Linked DNA regions of Mytilus edulis. The protein of the gene in region 1 interacts with the protein of each later gene in a biochemical or structural test. Links are inferred from orthologs where the notes say so. Each region holds a gene or a part of one and is shown in the gene's direction. Other genes may lie near its edges.

Region 1 (7,252 bases):
ACGACAACCACAGACTCCTGACTTGGGGAAAGGCACATACCGAATGTGGCGGTGTTAAACTAGTTTGTTCGCGCCAAACCCTCCCATATCCTGGGACAGTACAACTTAAGAACAAACTATACAAAACAATAAACGAAAAACAAAAATGAGAAACAGAAAAAAGCGACAACCACTCAATAACATGCAAAAAAGCGACAACCACTTATTAACATGCACCTGACTTGGGAGAGGGCACATATAATATAGAATGTTGTGAGCTTAAACTAGTCTGACGGCACTAACCCACCCCTAACCCGGGAAGTTATGTAACAGTACAACATAAGAAAAAAAAATCAGTTAGAAAAGGTCTTTTGAACTCATCAGATGGATACAAATAGAAATACATCTAACGAAAACACATAGTGGACCTGACAGGGTATTAACACATCGCCCCTCACCCCCCCCCCCCCCCCAAAAAAAAAAAAGTAGTCGTAGTGGTTAACAGCTAGTTCAAAGCAAATATCAATTAATGAAAAAATCATGCATCTAAGATGAAGATATCAATACAGATCCAACGTCCAACGGATTTAGTATAAAGACGTCATTAACAGTTATTGAAAAAAACATGACCTTGCGCAATGCCAATATACAGGTATCGACAGATTGTTGAGTCATAAATGTGCATATCACGGTATGTATATAAAAGTGATATTTAGTCTGATTTTAATTAATTTATTGAATACAAAATCAATAGTAATACCAATAAAAACAACAATCAAAGATTCAAGTACAGTCAGTGTTGCATTGGTAACCTTTTTGAATGAATCTATTTGAAATGATCGATAGGTTTATCCGGATCGTTTCTAAATTTTCTATTTCGGTAAACAACATCCCACAAAATGTTTAACAAGTTTCTACATGCGCAACTAAACTTCAAAACCATATCTTTCTGTGGAAGAATTTATTAAAGGTTTTAAGTGATTTGTGGTTACGAAACCCCCGACTAGACTAGTGTACGTTCATTGAAGTCAAAAACGTCACGACAGACACGGACATAGTAAACGAGTTGCGATATATAAACACCGTAAATGGTGAAAGGGACACCAACGTCCAAACAAAAGTGGAAAATTAACAATAGGGATTGAAAAATTGTCCCTTTTGTCATAAATTTTAAATTGACTAGTTTCCCATGTAAAACTGAAATATCGTTACTCTAAGAAAGGACAGTTATAGTTTTTATATTATGAATTTAAAGTAAGTTCCTTATGGTAAAAGTTGACAGTATATTTAGAAAATTCTTGATTATTTAACAAAAAATAGCATCAAAATAAGATCTGATAACGGTAAGTGTTTTTGAATATATAAATTAAATGCAATTTAGACAGGTCTTTACTCATAAACTGTTATTCATAAAAGTACAAGAATAATTCTGCTATTAAAGGGACGTAATTGGTGCCCATATGAATACATGCAGCCTGTCGATTAACTTTATTGCCGAACCGTACACGAATATATTCAAGGAGAAAATTAACAGCCTCAATCATCTCACCACACCGCTGTAGGAAGTATATCTATTAAGCATATTTACATTTCTCATTAGATACAAAGGCTGTTATTGAGTTGCAGCAACTATATTTGCGTTCAGATTTACCAAAGACACATATGTTCCATTGTACAAAATTATACTGTATAGATATAAGTAATACGGGCGCCGAATGGGACTCTTGCATGTGGTTTTGTACTCGAAATTCAATTTTGTACAGACAAAAGTGAGTTTTGTTAAACAAAAATGAGTTCAGTTTAACAAAATTTGTAGCATACTACAAATTTAAAATTTTGTCATACAAAATTATCTTTCAGTGGCCAAAAGTTACTTTTGTCATGACAAAATTCATTTTTGTAACACAGACTACCTAATTTGAAAATTGGGCGACAAAAGTCAATTTTGTATGCAAATTAGTTTAGTTTGGATTCTGTGAACGAATTTGCATACACAACTGATATTAAGTTACAAAATTCAATGTTGTGCCACAAGAGTCAATTTTTGTGTCACAAAAGTCAATTTTGTCACAAAAGTCATTTTTGTCACAAAAGTCCATGTTCAGTGTGTCACAAAAGTCAATTTTGTCTACACAAAAATAATTTTGTAAATTCATTTTTGTCACAAAAGTAAATTTTGTATGTAAATAAGTTTATATTTGCATACCTATTTGACAAAATTTAATTTTTGTCATGACAAAAATGATTATTGTAATGATTTTTGTCTACAAAAATGAATTTTGTTTACAAAAATGAATTTTGTTTACAAAAATGAATTTTGTCATCACAAAATTGAAGTTCTCATAAAACAAGTCTGTATCACATAGTTTTGTAAGACAAAAATGATTTTGTCATGACAGAATTGAATTTTGAACAAAACCACAAGACTCCCGTTCAGCGCCCCGTAAGTAATGACTATGTTCTAAAAATCTAAAATTGAATATACATCTAGTATTTCTATAAACTAGATTGACGGATATTTTGTATGCGTTTTGGAGGTAGAAGAATAATTGGAATATCGTTTTCCAATACTTGTATTTCATTTCCCGTCCTTCATGAGACAAAATTCAGTCCATGACAATCTGACTGTAAAATATAGTCTCATTTTACAAATCATTCATCTGTGAAATATTGTCTTTAAACAGACAGAATTTCACAATGATGAAGATATGTCCTTCTCTGGAGATAATTTCATAAATGAGGAAAATATTTCATGATACCATAGATGGGTATTACATGATAAATACATCTATGTTTTAGATACATAGTTATGACTGAAGTCCCAATGAATATAGTCACTCCTGGTGGACAATATTTCATACGGACAGTATTTAGCTTTACATATACCCTTATTACCGAATTTCTTAGTTCATACGTTATTCTTTTTAAATGTAAACTTAGTATAACAAAGTCCAAACATCTCACGACACAAGTCAGATCAGAAAACGGAGCTATTAAATGGCACGACTATAGACACGACTATATTTGGAGTAAGATATATAGTAAGAAGACCCGTTTTTCTTTCCTTTCCAAAACCGGTAAGCTTAAAAGTATAATACCAAGACTAATTTTGTAGAGTTTTATGGTATTTTAAGTGCTATTCCAAATAGATGGAAATTAAAGTAGGATAGAAGGTAGTTCTAGACTTGATAATATTGAAAATAAATTAGTAGATAAAGTTAAAAAAGAACCAAAATCTTGTAAATTTTTCTATAATTTATTTCTGGAGGATAATAAAGTATTATCACTATCTTCCCGTAACAAATGGGAAATAGACTTAAATATACAGATTGAAGATTGGAATGCTATTTATTCCATGCCCTTCATTATAACAAGAAATTCGTTTTTACAAAATTTTCAATTTAAGATTGTTCATAGAATTTTACCATGTAATTACTTTTTATATAAATGTAAATTAAAAGAAACTGAACTTTGTACATTTTGTTCAGAAGTTAGAGAAAATATTTTTCACATTTTTTGGGAATGTAATGTAACAAAAAACTTCTGGTTTTCCATTATAGATTGGATTAGAAATTATGACATCTTCTTGCCTTTTAGTGCAAAAGAGGTCATTTTAGGTGTGTCTGAGGATTTTGTCAACAGTAAAACAGTTAATAATATTTTGTTGTTACTTAAATACTATATATACAAATGTAGATGTAAGAGCGTATTGCCCACAAAATATGGTGGGATAGAATATCTAAAGTATTGGATCAAAATAGAAAAATACTCTGTATGTTTCTTAACCCCTACACAAAAAATAAAATTGGATCAGAAGTGGCAATTGTTAGAAGCAGCATTAAATTAACAAAATCAATTGTAATATTTATATCTTATTATACCATTATGATTTAATTGACCTTACAAGTGTTATTTAACTTTTTATACTTGTGTCTAATACTGTATTATGTAATTTCACATGTTTCATCTTCAAAAATAAAATAATTATAAAAAAAAAGAAGACCCGTTTTTCTTTCCTTTCCAAAACCGGTAAGTTTTTAAGATTTATTTTTTTTGGCGGGAAAGCTGTGTATAGTTGAAAACCAAAAACAGAATACAGAATACAAAAATAACAAACATAAATAAGGTTGTTAATGAATAGAAGGCATACCATTTTCCCTTTTGAATATATACTTTTTCTAAAATTATCATTTTCATCTTACAGTGATATTAAAGATTACCAGAGAGTGTCATATGCAGTTTATATTTTAATCGAACTTATGAAGTGCTTTGCGGTTTTTAGTTATTTTTTTAATGCAACGCTCAGCAAAAAGCAAAACGTGTGGGAAAGTGTAAACAAATGCTGTAAGAATGAGCGATTTCAAAGCAGAATATGCAAAAAGTGGGAGAGCGTCATGCAAAGGCTGCAAAGCAACAATCGGTCAGGAGTCTTTGAGACTTGCATTAATGGTTCAGGTATAACTGATAAATATATATTTGTTTACACCCAGAAATTGGCAGAATTTACCCTGGCTGATCCACCCAGAGAACAAACGATGTACACATCTTTTAAACTTTTCATCAAATAAGAGACACTTGTCACTGCTATAAACTAATTTGTTGAATTACTTTTTTTTAACTTGAAACTACAAACATGTACAAGTCGTCAATTGTGCATAAATTCCTTTAGTCTTCCGATTTACGGAGATGTTACAAGTAAACGAAAAGTTAACAATTTTCTGGACTACTAATTCTTTTACCAAAATAGAAGATAAGGTTCTTTTGAAAAAATGTTCCATTTACTAAACTATAGGGTATTGTGCAATTTAAGTTTTATACACCTTATGCATCAAAAGTCAGTGTTCCAGCTAGGCCGTTTTCAGAGGGCGCGGCGCCCGCCCCTTTCCGAGTGGCGCCCTGTGCCCTTTTTACAGTTTCCAGGGCGCCCTGCCTTTTTTGAAGATCGATTGCATATTAATTTGCGTATTGATATGATACGCTAATTACTAAATTTTACCTGGGGAAAAGATTATGACTTTGTTTACCACCCAAGCTAATCAATGGTTACAACTGGTGTCATAATCTGTTGTTATAGGTAATCCGTTTATCGGATGGGTCATTAATGATCATCAACATTAATTCGTTCAAATAGAATCGGTCAGTCGGCAATTATCTTTGAAGAAATGTGCATACAACAACTTGGGCACAATTTGCGATGTTTACCGTAGTTTCATGGAAGAAACGTAATGACAGAAAGTTGGAAAACCATTATTAACTCGTTGAAGACATTGTTTTATTTGTTTTCTGTAAAATAAACAGAAAATTCAGACGTATTTGTCATTGACTGCCTTCATTTTTGATACGAAAATAACAAAATCGGCGGCCATATTGTGATCATATTTACATCATATTTACGTACTGTTTATAATCCTCCAAAGAAGGAGCACACCCGAATAAAGAAAGATAACTCAATCTGATTTTTTTCTTAGCATTGAGTAACCCATTTACATATTCTAAAATGTGTCTCCATACTTCTTGCTTAATATATATGTTTAGGTATTTATTTTGAGTTATGGGAAAAGTTAAAGAGGGTCTTAGTAGCAGTGTTGGTAGGGTGCCTTGGTCATCTTTTTCTGTATTCTTTATTTTTGATACTATTTTTCACTGTTGCTTTATATCCTAAAATTGTGAATTTACTGAGCACAGCTGTTTTGTGCTGTATTGCCATCAAGCACAGCAGGGGTAGACTGAAGGTGAAACTGGTAAAATGTGGTAGACCATAGAAACAGTATGAAACAGATCTCCTTTCAAAACATACTGCATATAAAGTTCAACTGTGCCAAGCAATGATAAAAAAAAACTTGTGTGACAAGCTGCTTGACAAGTTTTTCAGCCTTAAAAGTAGAAAGATAGAGTTCTATATGGGCTAAAGATGTTGTTCTTGTATAACCTGTGATTCAACGAATAAACACAAATGTTTGATTAACATCTTTTATTAAAATATGCCCTTTTCATATTATCTTTTCGCGCGTTAAATGCCCTTTTTCAGGATTGGCACCCTGCCCTTTTGAAAACCTAGCTGGAACACTGAAAGTTCAAGCAGCCGGGTCAGCCGGGATTAGCGATAAGGTGTATTGTTTATAAACAATAGATGTTAAAAAAATCATCACTTATATCTTCCTCTGACCTATGAGGGTGGTAAAGAGGGGCCCTGAACACGGAAACACGTGAAATAAAAATCGGAAAAATAGAAGCACAAGAATTAAATCAGCCGTTCTTATCAGGTAGTCATTTATAATGGACATGATGAACCTGCAGTCCGCACCGTTTAGCGTTTGCTTTACTAGTTACAACTGATTTGAATAAAAAATATTATTCATAATAATTAAAATGATAGCAATTTAAAATTTTCTTGGAACATATAATTTGAAAATTCTCCTGACCGACTTTAAATTTTCCCGGTTTTAATATTTTGGAAAATGACGCTATCAGCAGCATGTTTCCGATACAATTGACCAGAACTAAAGGAAGTTGATTATATTTCCGCCTACAGCACTCGGTTTCATATTTACTATTTTACATACTAACTGGAATCTGCTTGTATTACGCTACACTCGAACAAAGTGTAGAAGTCAGACGGGAACCAGTTTACATACTTTATTCTCCAAAATTGGACCTTCCAGAGGGGTGCGGTCTATAGAGTACAATAAGCAAGAAATAAGAGATAAAGTTCAATTTTGCGGCAAGGTGGTTTGTTTACGTTCCGCCATCTTTGTTATTGATATTGTAGAGGGCGCTCTCATCATTTTTCAAACTAATAATTTTAACACGCCCTTATTAATAAGTTCTTTCTATTCAATATCAAATTAATACTGATAAATATAAAAACTAAACCGTTCAATACAAATTTCTCGTTTCTTTTCAATGCATTGGTTGAAATAAACTGGTATCTGCTTGATTGAAATGATATAAACATAGTAAAAAAGACAACCGTAAACCAACTTAGAATTTGTAAACTACAAAATGTAATCGGTTATTGTTCATTCCGTTTTGGTGTTTCATACTGACTAATATGGTTTGTATTTGCTTAAGACCCTTCAAACATTAATGTGATAGGTATATTTAAGACTGTTTTACAAAAGGATGGAAGTGTTTAACTTTCAAAGTCGTATTATATTGATATCTGTCATGTACAGATTTTGACTCTCACCGGTTAATTTCTTCTTTTACACATGCTTTTTAAACTTCCTGTTTAAACATACACAAGTTTCTAAATTGTTTTTTAAGTGAATTA
Region 2 (7,952 bases), on another chromosome or scaffold:
TTGAACATGAATTCCTGCAGAAATTATTCAGTTTGTAAGTTACATGTCAGCAGAGTTTACACATCATTGTAAGTCATAATATAACTAAAATAACCTTTATCATGTTTATCTGATGTACAGTACTTGTCGTTTGTTTATGCAATTTATTCGTGATTCTCGTTTATCTTTTTTTTTATATAGATCAGACCGTTGGTTTTCCCATTTAAATGGTTTTACACAAATAATTTTGGGGCCCTTTATAGCTTGTTGTTCTGTGTGAGCCAATACTCTGTGTTGAAGGCCGTACCTTGACCTATAATGGTTTACTTTTATAAATTGTTATTTGGATGGAGAGTTGTCTCATTGGCACTCATACCACATCTTCCATATCTATTTATTAATATAAATGTATAATTATTCTATAATGAGCATGTGATGCCATCCTAAGATCCTAGTTCACCAGTTTGTATTGCCTTGTTCCAGGGGCAGATTTAGAGGGTTTTCCTGGATGTGTGGAAAAATTTGGCTGATTATGTAGAGAATCACTGAAGCATGATAGGAGCGGGCACTCTCTTAGGCAGTCAGTGGGCACCCCCTTATGAAAATTTCTGGATCTTCCACTGAATTCATCTTACCTGGGTGAACTTTGACCTTTCCAATAACCCCATAGACCATTCCAATACAAACAGGATTCCATGCTGAACATAAGTCTATACCTATAAGAATAAAATATCATACAAATATATCATACATGGGAAAGATTGTTGTTGGATTGCTGTCTTTTAAAAACATGTGTAAGATGATATGTCTGTGAGACACAATGTTTTGTCTGCATACGCCAGGATTGGCAAATAAAATATTGGTTTGTTTGATTGTTTGTTTCCTTCACTACATCCTACATTTACAATAAATCACAAAATATAAGTTCTGACATTTGAAAATGAAATGTAATTTTGTTTTTGTTTTGAAACTGAACTGATGTGAAAGGTCAATGCCATAGAAATCAATATGCACCATCATAAAAAAGGTCAGAAATGTATGATACTACTAGACGATTCAATTATCTGTCAGCTTAATATTTAGAAGTAACCACACTGGTTTCTTAAAGATATGTTAGATAACCTAATATTATTTTCAATTGATTAATTGTATCATCTAAATATTGCAACTTATTTTTTCATGACACTGACTATTGAATTTATAGTATGAGGCAGCTTAATAGAGCCTACATCCTAATCAATTATTAAGGTTAATCACTTGACATTCATTTTTTTCCTTAACAAATAATGTGAGGAACTATAGGCCTTAGCATTGTAAACAATCATTTTTGAGTTATATGCAAAAGGTCAGATCAATTGGGTTAAGGACACCACCATTTCAATTCAAGGGGGAGGGGGGGAGATAGGTGGGGATGGTTGTTTCCTTAAAAAATATTCTGATCACTAATTTGATGAAAGAAAAATATTTAGGTCCAGATGATGACCAAATTTCCCATACTGAATAGTATTATACATTTGTATTCTGAAAAAAAATAATTGATTGCATGTGTGAAAAACTAAAAAAAAAAGGTTCGCACTTTGACCAAAAAATGTTGTTGAGATTCTGACATAAAACCAGAACACCCCCCCCCCCCCCCCCCCCCCCCCCGTCCCCATTTGAAGTTAAATGATTACTCCCTAGAATAATGTGTCAAACTGATATTCTTTTTTAAAATTCATCTGCTGGATTGGAGCTACGGTACACATTAAGATTAATTTACAGAAAGACTAAAGCATGTAGGGTTTTTATTTTAATGTAAATAGCCATTTAACAAGTTCAAACATATTTTTTTTTTTCCAAATCAAAAACATGAAATAAATAATTTTGTGAAAAAAGCAACAATTTTTAATGACTGATGATCAAGGAATCAATATTATTCGACATGTTCGATAATAGATACTTTCTTGGGAACAGATTAACTTCTTATCATAATTTGTATATATAACTAGTTAAACATTAATGGTCTAAAAGGTCAATGATGAACCAGTTTATTAGTCTGACTGCTGTTTGGTACATCATAATTAAGGCAGAACAGCTATTATTAAATTGTTTAAAAGCAAGACGATAATAACAAAATACTATCTTAAACATTGATTCTTTGTAAGTGTTTCTTTCTGATTTATTCATATAGAATGAAATAGGAGTGCAGGTAAAATGTCCTTATCATGATTCGTCAGATGTGAATGAAGTCCATTTATGTACTAATTAGCTATATATATAGTAGCTCTATTGCACATCTGGAATACATTTTATTTCGAACAATGTACATACATGTATATTGTTCTTATTTAGTAATTTTTACCCAGCACCATATATTTAGGTTCAGTTATTCAAATCCAACTACTTGTCGCTGATTTTTCAAAGAAATCGATGCAGATAATATAATTAAACATGGACAGGAAGAGAACCCCAAAATGAACTGTTGTGCAAAAAGAAATATTCACATTTTCCATTTGCTCAAACATGATTTAAAATATTTTTTTGATAATCAGCACCCTGGTTAATCCAATCATTATCAACTATAATTAGCATGATTATAGCATTGTCTTAGACAATGCTAATCATGCTAAGCATATAAAGATAGATACTCAATCAAAGTAGATAATCATTATCAACTATTAGCATTGTCTAGCGTGAAAGATAGATACTCAATCATGGTAGATAATCATTATCAACTTTTAACATTGTCTAGCATGAAAGATAGATACTCAATCATGGTAGATAATCATTATCAACTTTTAGCATTGTTTATAGTGAAAGACAGATACTCAATCAAGGTAGATAATCATTATAAACTATTAGCATTGTCTAGTGTGAAAGATAGATACAAAATGTACTCAATCAAGGTAGATAATCATTATCAACTATTCGCATTGTCTAGAGGGAAAGATAGATACTCAATCAAGGTAGATTATCATTATCAACTATTCGCATTGTCTACATGGTCTAGAGTGAAAGATAGATACTCAATCAAGGTAGATAATAATTATCAGCTATTAGCATTGTATATACAGTGTAGCTTGAAAGATAGATACTCAATCAAGTTAGATAATCATGATCAACTATGAGTATTTTTTTTAAATCTTTTAACTTTAAAATCAAATGAATACTGTTTTCTCCAATATTGTCTCAACATTTTCATTTCAAAAAAAAAAAAGTGAAAACAAGTGAACATGGTGAAACTGCAAGCTAATGCTCACTGATGATACCCCCGCCGCAAGTGGATAATATTAATAATGGTGTTCGGTAAACAGGAAGTTGTCGAGTGATGAATCTGAAAATGAATCACATGGTATACATGGTATAGCAGACTTATATCAAGCCTGAAACCAAATTTTAGAAATCCTTTTAGTATAGTTCTTGAGAAAAATGTGACGAAAAATTTCAACTTGGCTATCAGGTGTAAAATGATACTTGTTCGGTAAACAGGAAGTTGTTAAGTGATGAATCTAAAAAAGCAATCACACGGTATAGAGGACTTACATTGTATATCAAGCCTGAAACCAAATTTTAGAAATCCTTTTAGTATAGTTCCTGAGAAAAATGTAACGAAAATTTTCAACTTGGCTATCATGTGTAAAATGATACAAGTGTTCGGCAAACAGGACGTTGTTGTGTGATGAATCTGAAAATGCATCACACAGTATAGCTGAAATATATAAACTCTGAAACCAAATTTCAGAAATCCTGGTAGTGTATATACATTGTAGTTCCTGAGAATAATGTGACGAAAAATATTCATGGGACGGACGGACTGACGGATTGATGGACTGACGGAAGAACGGACTGACGGATGGATGGATGGATGGATGGACAGACAGAGGTAAAACAGTATACACCCCTTTTTTTTAAAGCAGGGGTTACAGTATACCCCCCTTTTTTTAATAGCAGGGGTATAAAAATGTCATGTAAACACCATGTATGTATGTACTGGTAAATGCCTCCGATATCCGAAGAACCCCTCAAAAGCTGCAAGGGTACAGTGGCATCCATGTACACTCCCTAACGGGATTAATGGAGATGTGTCACTAACGTATGTTTATACGACAATTATTTTTACAAGGACAATCAATCCCCACCCAACACAAAGGGAGTGCTAGGACACCGGGCAGTCTGTTATTATAGTGGAGGAAGCCGAAGTACTCGGAGAGAACCACCGGGCCACTCGGTGGAAATAGACAAACCAGAGAGATATCAGAAGATTGATCTCCAGGTCAAAGTAAGGGACAACTTTGACCAACCGAGGCCCCCAAAGTACCCATTCTAGTTTAAACTCCAGTCTGGGTACCAGAGATGTGTGTGAGAGGGTGAAAATTACCCTTCTGATGTGCTGATATTTTCAGCACTGTAGCCATCGGTCATAACCACTAGACCACGAACTCACATAGTACATGTAATTACTGTACAGTGGTACTAATGTATAATACCTGTATGGAGTTATATTTTTCAGAATGATAGGTCATTCTTTTCGAAGAATCATAATTTTTGTTCCGCTCGGCTAATTTTTGCCCAAAATAACTGGCTTTGGAATTTTATAAATTGTTGAAAATCACAGTCATACAGACTTTTTTTCTATACGCCTCCAGTTTTTTAGCTGATTTTTGATATGTGAGACTACCATCATGTTTGTGTCCACAAAGGCACATGTGTTATTGAAATTGCAGACTTTCAACTTTTTGAGACGGGGCCATTCGTGTCGGATTGACACATCTAGTTGGGATGTTTTTATCATAAACATATATGGATAAACATTAGAAATCACCTTTTTTTGGTTCAAGATCTCCTGTAGTTCTACTACACCACAGCGTAAAATCGCCATCCTGTAAGATATAATGGTCCTCAGTGTGAAAAACTTGTATCATTTTATCAATTCTTTATCACAGGAACCTTATCTCCACAAGTTTCATTTCATTTTTCACTTTTGGGGCAAAAAATAATATACGAGATAGAAAATCGAGCTAAATGTCAGTTGCAGGAAATGAACACTTTATTTACCTTCAGCTTTGAGAGCAACACTTCCGGTAAAATCAGAAATATGAGTGTAAGTCTGTATGGATGATAACATTATAAATATATTGCTTACTTTGATATATGAAGTAGTTTACACGATTTTTTTTTACAAAATTTAACTTTTTGATGATTGTTGAATTGACGTTCTTCTAGCTATAGAGGTTTAAAAACAAATATGGTGTGTGTCAAAAGAAACTGAAAGTGAAAAATACAGACTAATTTTCTTTTTCTCATTTTGTATCAATAGACAACTTTCGAGTTCGATGCTTTTCCGTCAAAAACTCTGGTTTTAGTGAACGTCATTTGTGCGTTTAGGGGCGTCGTAACTTCCATTCAAATGTTGAGCGAGTGGTTGGAAAACTATAATTCTATATTGTACGAATTATTCGGCAAATTGAATTCTCAAAATTGACAATCAGCATTGCTGTCATTAGGGAATTGTCATTAAGTACCTACAGAACAACCATTATTTCTAGTTTATCCTCCATAATGACGATCACTAGGACGCTTGATGCATGTAAATAGTGCAGGGATACAGGCGACCCCCTCTATCTGGTAAATGTCATAAAGGCGCGTATAATTGACGAGTTTTTTCCGGTGACGGATGAACTCGAAAGTGGTCTATTCTTTTTATGCCCCCTTTTACAGGAAGTATTAATGAATGCTGCTAACCGTCTCAGTGTTCTAGGATTTTTTTGGCACCTTGACTTACCACGGGTAAGATCAATAAAAAAATTACTTACCCACATCTAAAAGTTAAATCCGCCAACCAATGCGGACGGCGCAAAAAAAACGATTTCTTACTAAATTTGACAAATATGTTATAGTTATTACTATGTCATTTATTCAGAGCTATAATAAATGCAACTGTAAGTTTATTTTCCTCCGATGACAAGAAAAAAAATTGTTTATGTCCCGATTTAAGCACCAGTTATCAATCCGGATTTTCCGATTTTTACCGACACCGTGACCGACTTTTAGAATGATAGGAGAAGAATGTGGTCTCTTTTGCGCTTGATTACACCTAGTAAACGAGTGCTTGAATAAAAGCGCCGATAGACATCGACAAAATCTTCGATCTTTTATCAAAGTTTTTTCTCGTGATTTAATAAAAATAAAAAGCAGATATGGGAAAATTGAAGAGGACCGGGAAATTTCAAGAGTTTTTCGGCTTCCCCGAACTTGAAAATTGACTTACCACCGGGTGACAAAGGCTAAAAAATGACTTACCCGTTGTCCTAATCCACTTACCCCGGGTAACGGGTAATGGGAATCCTAGAACACTGCGTCTGCTTGTCCGTCGTCAACATATCATACATTTATACCTCCAAAATGCTTTAACAGATATTCAAGAAACTTTGTTTATATCTTTTGACGTGAGCTCCCTTAAAAAAGCTTTCATTTTATCAATTTCAGATTAACTGTTGGTTTCCGACTTTTGGGGTTTTATTTATTGAAAAAGGAGGGATTTTCCATCAATGTCCAATTTTCTGACAATAACTCAAGAAATGCTTTTACCAATTTTCATGAAACTTTGTTTGTTTATAATATGAGGCAGGCATTACCTGTGAATGGGGACAAAGTCTATGATTTTTTTTTTTAAATCAACAATGTTAAAAAGAGAAACGGAGATACCGTAATGTTTCCGATTTTGGTTCTGTTGTTAGGGATTTTAGTTGTGACATTTATTTAAGTTATGACGTCATATTCAATGTAATCAAAGAAACGCTGTCATCAGATAACTTTTTTTTAATAACAAACATTTGTTTTAAAATGAATTAGTATTAGTTACTTTCTTAGACTGATAAATATACATTTTATTCAAAGTCTCATGTCACAAGACCGGAAACGGAAGTAGATTTCTGCGCAGACTGGAAATTCATAAACGCGACAAAAAAAATTCGGGAAATTTTCCCGATTTAAAAAAAAAAATATTTATTATTGAATTTTCTACTGTAATAGGGGACTTGGTCACGATATTATATAGTCTGATGTAGAACTGATTTACTAAGTATTGCGCAACAGCACAGTGTATTGCGCAACCACAAAAAATCTAATTGGATACAAATTCAATTTATTTATTTATAACCTTAAACCAATTTGAGTTCTTTGACTTCATTTATTAATATGTCAAATAGTTACATGTACTTACAATCAAAATTCAGACCTGTATCAAGCTTGAATATTGTGTCTTTTTTGCCCAAATTAAACTGTTCAGGGTTGGACCTCTGGAGGCGTATCCAGCTGCATTCAGCTAAGCAGTTTATTATTAATATCATGGCAGTTATATATTTTATCATCTTGCAACATGTTACAATGTATACAGAATAAAAGCATTTTTGTTTTTGATACTAACTTTATCAGCAAGAATATCAAGCAAGCCCACTAAGGCAAGTCATAATAATGTGGTACTGTTGGTATGATATTAGAATCTAATTCTAGAAGTGCCCTTTGGGCATCTTTTCTTAATAATAATGTAATGTATTTTATTTGAATTGACAGCTTCCTAGAATGCAGAGATCTGATCACAGGAGACACAGACGTTTGACATCTAGAAGTTCGTCAGGTCAAAGGTTACCAATAGTTGTTCAAACACAAAGAGCAAGAAGAAGAAATAATCCTCTAAGGGAAAGAAATCAGGAAGTAGTTGATGTTGAAGGTATAAATATTTGCTTCTCTTTAACATGTTGAATAAAATACAGACATGAATTAAATTCAACAATCCAGTTCCATCCTCAACAGTGATGAAGCCTCAAAAGAGAAATTAGAAATGCATATTAATATACGATATAGCTTAGGAGAATAGGCAACTTCCAAGTGAAGTCTAAGTGAAGAAATGCAATTAAATTTTTATACGACCGCAAAAATTTTAATTTTTTGGTCGTATATTGCTATCACGTTGGCGTCGTCGTCGTCGTCGTTGT
Region 3 (7,600 bases), on another chromosome or scaffold:
TGCAAAAGCCATTATTTTCAATCCTCGGTAGCGGATACACAAGTACCTTTGATAACTATATAAGTTCAGTGATGAGAACCACTGCGATCCACACAAAAAAAATCCAAGTTATTTTCAATCATCGGTAGCGGATACACATCTTAATATTTAAATATACAAGAGAAGGATTTATTTGAAATACATTTATTAGATACAGCTAGATGTAAATTCCATTCTAAAATTCAAATTGACTTTTGTTCAGAATATGTATTTGTTGTTTGATTGCTGCAAATGCGCTGCAGGTCTGCAGAACACAATTAATCCTCCAATTGATTGCTAGCTGCAGACTTATTGCAACACTCATTTGCATATAAGTGTTTGCAGCAGGTTTTAAAGAGTTTTGAACAGGTCACTACTGGTGGACTTTTCGTCCCCATTGGTATCACCAGCCCAGTAGTCAGCAATTCGGTGTTGACATGAATATCAATTATAGTCATTTCATAAATTTACTGTTTGCAATAGTATGAATTATTCGAAATACTAAGGATTTTCTTATTCCAGTCATAGATAACCGTAGCCGTATTTGGCACAACTTTTTTTGAATTTTGGTTCATCAATAATCTTCAACTTTGTGCTTGTTTTGCTTTGTAACTATTTTGATCTGAGCGTCACTGATGTGTCCAATGTAGACGAAAAAGTATTAAATTATAAGCCTGGTACCTTTGATAACTATATAAATACAACCATTAAAATGCTTTTTATTTTTTAACAAATTCATTTTAGAATTGACATTGTTTATTCGTTGAGTGCTCAAATGATACTGAATATTTAAATATACAAGAGAAGGATTTATTTGAAATGCATTTATTAGATACAACTACATGTAGATGTAAATTCAATTTTAAAATTGACTTTTGTTTGAAGCAAACCTGCAGCAGATCTGCGGCATACAGTTCAGTTCTGTACTGGTTGGAGCGGACCACACATTTTGAAGATACCTTTCTGTTGTGAATTCGCTATTTCATTTCCAAAATTTTACTTAGGATATGGAGTTGCAAATACCACTTGGTACGTACTGCGTTAAAACCTTCCAAAATTGATCGGTCTGAATTCTTGTGCTTAATTTTTTTGTATCTGTATCCGTCTGAATACTGTGTCTGTGGATACCAATATTGGTTTTAATACAACGATAGAGAGAGCGCCATCGATTTCTTGTCAGTCCCGTTTTTATTTCTGCTACATATAAAACAGGTAATACAGTAATGTCTATACTTCGTTTAGTATCTCTCTGTTTCCCTGATATGATATTTTCTTGTCAACTATTTCAAAAGAATGAAATAATCAAATCCAAAAGGCAACTAAAACACGTAATAAAGTACTCCAACAAATTTGATTTCACCTCTCCAACAATTATAGGGGGGGGGGGGAATCGACACAAAATTCATCATCAAACAAAGTCATAACTGCAGCTCAGCCTCTCACCTTTACACTAATTCGATTTCTAGGTCGGATCCAGGATTTTTGAAAGGGCATTATTCAATAAAACGGATAATATTTTTGGAAAATTTTATACTGATCTATACTAGAAAAAATCAAATAAATCGTGAAAAACGTGATATAAACTCTCGACATGCACACACATGCCACTGCATTTTCGGTTTCGAATTTTATTTAAAATTGTGCTGTTTTAAGGACTGATATTGGATAGTATGTTTTTGTAGCCTTCTTCTCTTATAAAGGTTCTTCTAGTCCAGTTGTATATTTTCCATGTGACTGGATATCCTCAACTTGACCTTCAACAAATATACATATTTTTACCTACCTTTATATAAGGCATCAACCATTTGATTTTCTGGGGGCTATGGATTTTTTTCTTGACAAACTTTCGATTTCGGCGAAAAACAATCTATTTTTTTGGCGACAAGTCGAAAACATTTTTTTCTTTCCATTTTAGCATTACATATATATAGTGGCAGCTGAGGGTGAAACAAACATTTTTCTTTTCTCAGGGTCAAAAACAAATTATTTTTTTCTCAAAAAACTGGAAACAAACTTTTTTTTCCAAAAAATCCATAGCCCCCCCCCCCCCTGAAATTCAAATGGTTGCTGCCTAAGCTGCATTATCACTGCGACAAAGGGACAGTGATCCAGCGGCGGCGTTTAATATTTCAGAAGGTGGAAGACATGGACATGATGGCTCATCATCAACTTCCAATGAAAACTAGTGACAAATAAAAAAATAATAATTAAGGATTCCATGGAACCCATGCAGTGTCTCGCCTACTTTTGCTGTTGTCTAGATTTTCAGTGCGAGAGAGAAATGAACACAATAAATTTACAGTTAAGTACTATATATACCATGGTTTTTACGAGTTAACATATTTAAACAAACGAATCCGAAGGATGAGTTTGTTTAAATATGTTAATGAGTAAGACACATGGTATATAAAATTTGTAATATAAATAAAATGATTGACAGCTTCAAGACCTTCAACTAATATTAGAAATTGATCACGTTACAGTTTTATCCAATGAAATGGAAGCTCGCGCGTCACTTTTGCGCTTCGTGTATGATCGTCTGTGTATTTTATGTAATAGAGCCCCTGAATTTGCAGAAAGTAAAGAAAATGTCGGATTTTCCCAATTTATTTTAGTTTTGCGCCCCGTGTATGATTGTATGAGCAGGTAATTTCATAATGACTGAGGTAAACAAAAATGTCGGATTCCAGCGACAAGGATTAAATGATTATTCTAATGACGGTAAGAATTGTTTTTCTTTGTTTGTTTTCAATGTATCATACAAATTAATCATATTTTACAGAATTTTCATCTGATTGAAAAATGTTTTTCTTCCGTTATTTTATTAGATTATTTATTAAAACACAATTTTAATAATAAAACAATGTATTTAAACAGTGGCGGATCCAGAGGGCGTAGATAGTGTACGTCCCCCTAATTGATTGCAAAAAAAATCATGTTTTTTTCACAGATATTTGTAGCTGATATTTATTCCTTTTTATATCGAAATTTAATTGAATTTTCGCAAAGGAAATAATAGTTTTACATTTTATTTTTTTTCAAAACTGAAAGAAGAAACATTTAGTAATTGTTTCCAAAGTTAAGGGAATTCGTAACAATCTTATAGTTTGAAAAAGGTTTCTTAAAATGTGGTACACATAATTCATTGCTTTTTCTTATAAAATGAAAACAAATGAAGATCTTGACCTTTTAGTACGTTTTACGGTTTCCTAAATATTTTAGAGGCGGATACATTAAAAAAAAAAAAGGTGGAGCTTCAGCCATGGAATAACATGAAAATGAATATGTTATACCATGGCTGAAGCTCCGCCTTTTTTCCTTTGGATTTTAGTTGAGTTGCATATTTAATTAGCAAAGTATGGTACAACATAAATTTGCATATAATATACCATGGTTTTCCCTCACCGCACTTTTTAAGCAAATTATTTCATAAAAACATCAAAGGAAAAAATCCAATTTATGTTACAATGAAATATAACATTTGAAATGTATGAAAAAGTTATATATAGATGTCTTATGATATATATGTCTTATGATGTGAAGTTTTCGTCTGTCATATTTCCATTGTCCTTGACCTGATTTTTATGGTTCAGTGACTACTTGAAAAAAGTTAAGATTTTTTTGTAATGATAATTTCTCTCTTATTAGGAGTAACAAGATAATGAAATTTGGGTATGTGCTTACCTGATCGAGGGTTTGGATGGGGTTAAACTGATGATTAAAGAATAGTGTCCTTAAAAAATGAAGATTAGAGAATAATGGGCAAAGAAGGGGTTAATTTTTTGAAGATTAGAGAATAATGGGCAAAGAAGGGGTTAATTTTTTGAAGATTAGAGAAAAAAGGGGTTAATTTTTTATAAAGATTAGAGAAAAAAAGGGGTAAAAATTAAATGTTTACAGAATAACAGACCCCCCCCCCCCCATCCAGACCCTCTTACCTTGCAAGGTGTTCGTGCCCGTCAGTTAATTTGCACTTGACCTTGACCTCATTGCATAAAGCAGTGAACAAGGTGAAGTTTTTGTGATCAAGTCCGTATCAGATACTTTACGCATCAGGTCTACTATATTTGTTGTATGTAATGGGTTGTAAGGTGTGCATATCCAACTGGCAGGTCTCATCTGACCTTGACTTCATTTTCATGGTTCAGTGGTGAAAGTTAAGTTTTTGTCTATAAATACACCTTATCGCTATTCCCGGCTGACCCGTCCGCTTGAACTTTTGACGTCAACAACAATCACTTTTCCATTGTGGCGTCAGACATTTTGTTTTATGACGTCAAAATTTTACGGGAACCTGTGTGATTTCCAGCAATGGCGGACAAATAGCGATAAGGTGTATGAAATGTCTCTGGCTTGAATATAGAAAGTCCCTGCTGGACCAGAATTTTTGTTTCCATCATGGTTTTTTTTTAGGAAAACCCATACCCTCCCCCTTGAAGTTAGATAGTCGTGTTCCTTTATGAGTCTTTAATATGAAACGCGCGTCTGGTGTGCACAATTTTAACCCTGGTATTAAGATAAATTTAAATCACCCGCGTTTTAGTCTTTGCTGTTCGGAGCTTTCGTCCCAATTTAGAATCCACCCGGAAGTTGGATTTAGGACCAATAAGCAAGTCGATGCTAAGCTTCGCCTGATCTTGCAAATTAGTTTACGGTGTCAACACGATATTATTGTACATGTCAGCATTTGTAGGTCAATCATAAAGCATAAATATGTCCGCACGCGGTGCAAAGAAGAAAAAGATAACATCGCAATCTGCGAAAGCAGGTGTTTTGTTTCCAGTTGCAAGGATGCGCCGGTACCTGAAGGGAGTGACACATCATTTCCGTATCGGTTCTGGAGCTCCAGTCTATTTGGCAGCAGTCATAGAGTATCTAACTGGTACTGCTTACCATTTATATTTCATGACAACGCATTAATTTTAATTCTTCAACTGGCAAATGCCCCCTAACAGCCTCATGACTACAAACACCTATAATCTATAATACGTAATATGACAGAAAAATGTATAATCAAAGTAAATGAGCAATAGAATTAATTTGGTAATATTTTATAACTATGCATCTTAGAATTTACTTAGCATGGTTTACTGTCTTTAATATTTTCTGACTATTATAGCTGTAACTAAACAAATCTTGGACTCATTAATAGGATTGTGGTCCAATTTGGTCTCATAAGTGGTGAAGTCAGTATGGTTATTCATGGGACAGTTCAATTTGGCCTCACAGGCTACAAACAACTGTATCAGGTCCATATGTGCAGAATACTCTTTCGTACCCTACGCGTTCGCACCTCGAATATTCGATAATGAGATCTGTTAGCACCCTACACATTTGCACCCTATTTTTAATCAAATTCTAGTTGAATTATTAAAAAATCATGATCGTTGTGTTAACTTGCTTTGGTGTAATGCATATATTTAGCTTGGTATGAGTAAAACATTGAAGATTTTAAATAAAGAAGATTTTAAATGAAAAACATAAACAGCTTGGCCCCTTGATCTCACTTTATTTTGAAACAATGAAAAAAATGTATAGCAATCCACTAATTAATCAAAATATCGTTAGGATTTGTTCAACACAAAAATAAAATGTTGTCAAAATAACTTTATTTTGAAACAATGAAAAAAAAGTATACTAGCAATACACTATAACCATGCTAACCAAAACATGATTGAATTTCCCTTTTCAGCACAAAAAAAAACCCGTCAAAATCACTTTATTTTGAAACAATGAATTTTTTTTTTATAGCAATACACAAACCAAAACATGATTGAGATTACCAAATTCAACACAGAAAAAAGATGTCATAATTTCACTTTATTTTGAAACAATGAAAAAAAATATATAGCAATACGCTTACCAAAATATGATTAAGATTTATTCAACATAAAAAAACATAACATTCTCAGTTTATACTGAAACAATTAAAAAAACATATATAGCAATACACTTATCAAAACTCTATTACCAAATTGTCCAACACAAAACCAATAAAAAGGGTGCAAAAGTGTAGGTTACGAACAGACTTTGCATGCAAACGTGTAGGGTGCGAAAGTGAAAGGGGGCAAACATGTTTTTGGGCGAACTTACCAGGATTCATTGACAACTGTTCCAGCTCTTTTTATAGGAAATATGTAATAGGTTCAACTGACTTTGCTTTAATTTGCCCTATCTTGCAATAAAATGCAAATGCTGCCCTACATTTAATTAAGAACAATATTATATATACTTCCTACAAACACGATAACACAACATAGAATATACATTATGAATTCATTCTGATAAAATGATTGCAACCTGGCACAATAAAAAAAAACTACAAACTAACTCCATATTTAATTTAAATAATAATCAGCTTAATAAACTTATCACACACTTGTTGTGAGTTTAAACCACAGCATATGGCAGACCTGTGTGCACTTACCAAATCTTAATTGACTAGGATTATTGGTTTTCCTGCAGAAGTTCAGTGGTTCTTTCCTGCCACTCTGAACACCAATCAAAATACAATTCCTGACTAATAGAAAATGAAAACTTGTCTCACTTATAGGTAATCACATATACATACCTTCCAACCCTCACGTTTTGAGCTCATTAATCGCCTTTTGGGCACCGAGCCGACCGTGCGAGGGCTGTATAGCCAGTGAAGGTCGTTAAACACTTCCATTTGTTTGTTTGTTGATTTAATTTGGATGATCACACTTAAAAGCATTAATTGTGACATTATGGTTAATTAGGTGAAGGGATAGCTGTCCTGATGCAATTCAAATGTCAAAAAAGAAAAAGTGATGAAAGAGGAAAGAAAACAACATCACACCTTTTTTTAGAATATAACCATATTTAAAGAAAGAGAATAAATCTATTATTATGTAGATGAATAAATAAACAGGTCATAATTTCACTTGAAAATGTCATTCGCGAAAAATCTCCCACTCAGCTGTCATAACTGAGGGGGAGATCTCCCTCTTTGAAGGTTTCAGAGGTTGGCAGGTATGCATATATGTATCTTATGATACTTTTCAAACTTCCCCATGTACATGATGTAACTCCTTGACACATTCTCGCCCAACTGTAATCTCTGCCCATGCAAGAGCTATTTCTACTAATTTCTACACAAAAAAGAAGATAATCGACAAAAGTGGGATTAACATCATTTGTTTTTAAAACATGTTAAATTTATTAGTTTATAACTTAAGTGGTATTAATAATTATTTACTCTACCCTGTGACGCTGAAATTAAAAAGAAATGTTGCAGAACTATTAAAACTGATTTGTATCCTTTGGTTTACTGCCGGTAAGAAAACAAGTAAAGCATTATGACAGTCCTTACATAACCTTCAGTAAAATGTAACTGTTATTTTTCAAATATGGTTGATTTATGAAATATGTAGAAATTTGATTTATATCTATTATGGCCATAAATATTCATATTTATCATACTTTTTCAGCTGAGATATTAGAGTTGGCAGGAAATGCAGCTAGAGATAATAAAAGGGCTCGCGTAACTCCTCGACATATTCTTCTAGCAGTGGCTAATGATGAAGAATTAAATAGGGTATGTCACAATTTAATGTTTACA

Evidence for each region.
Region 2: the proteins of poly [ADP-ribose] polymerase 1-like (region 1) and E3 ubiquitin-protein ligase RNF4-like form a complex in vitro, tested with the Homo sapiens proteins (2 studies listed by BioGRID and IntAct, with this or other methods). The link is inferred for Mytilus edulis from reciprocal best matches to the Homo sapiens genes PARP1 and RNF4.
Region 3: the proteins of poly [ADP-ribose] polymerase 1-like (region 1) and core histone macro-H2A.1-like form a complex in vitro, tested with the Homo sapiens proteins (2 studies listed by BioGRID). The link is inferred for Mytilus edulis from reciprocal best matches to the Homo sapiens genes PARP1 and MACROH2A1.

The regions. Positions count from the first base shown.
Region 1 is NC_092346.1:99,417,961-99,425,212, reverse strand, and holds the start of poly [ADP-ribose] polymerase 1-like, read left to right. Parts: upstream 1-4,200; 5' UTR 4,201-4,329; coding exon 4,330-4,434; intron 4,435-7,252. UniProt on the Homo sapiens protein: Poly-ADP-ribosyltransferase that mediates poly-ADP-ribosylation of proteins and plays a key role in DNA repair.
Region 2 is NC_092347.1:57,598,529-57,606,480, reverse strand, and holds the start of E3 ubiquitin-protein ligase RNF4-like, read left to right. Parts: upstream 1-4,948; 5' UTR 4,949-4,996; coding exon 4,997-5,059; intron 5,060-7,530; coding exon 7,531-7,687; intron 7,688-7,952. Other genes in the region: phosphatidylinositide phosphatase SAC2-like, read right to left, coding at 615-695, 4,781-4,880. UniProt on the Homo sapiens protein: E3 ubiquitin-protein ligase which binds polysumoylated chains covalently attached to proteins and mediates 'Lys-6'-, 'Lys-11'-, 'Lys-48'- and 'Lys-63'-linked polyubiquitination of those substrates and their subsequent targeting to the proteasome for degradation.
Region 3 is NC_092352.1:9,734,666-9,742,265, forward strand, and holds the start of core histone macro-H2A.1-like, read left to right. Parts: upstream 1-4,596; 5' UTR 4,597-4,731; coding exon 4,732-4,900; intron 4,901-7,469; coding exon 7,470-7,576; intron 7,577-7,600. UniProt on the Homo sapiens protein: Variant histone H2A which replaces conventional H2A in a subset of nucleosomes where it represses transcription. Nucleosomes wrap and compact DNA into chromatin, limiting DNA accessibility to the cellular machineries which require DNA as a template.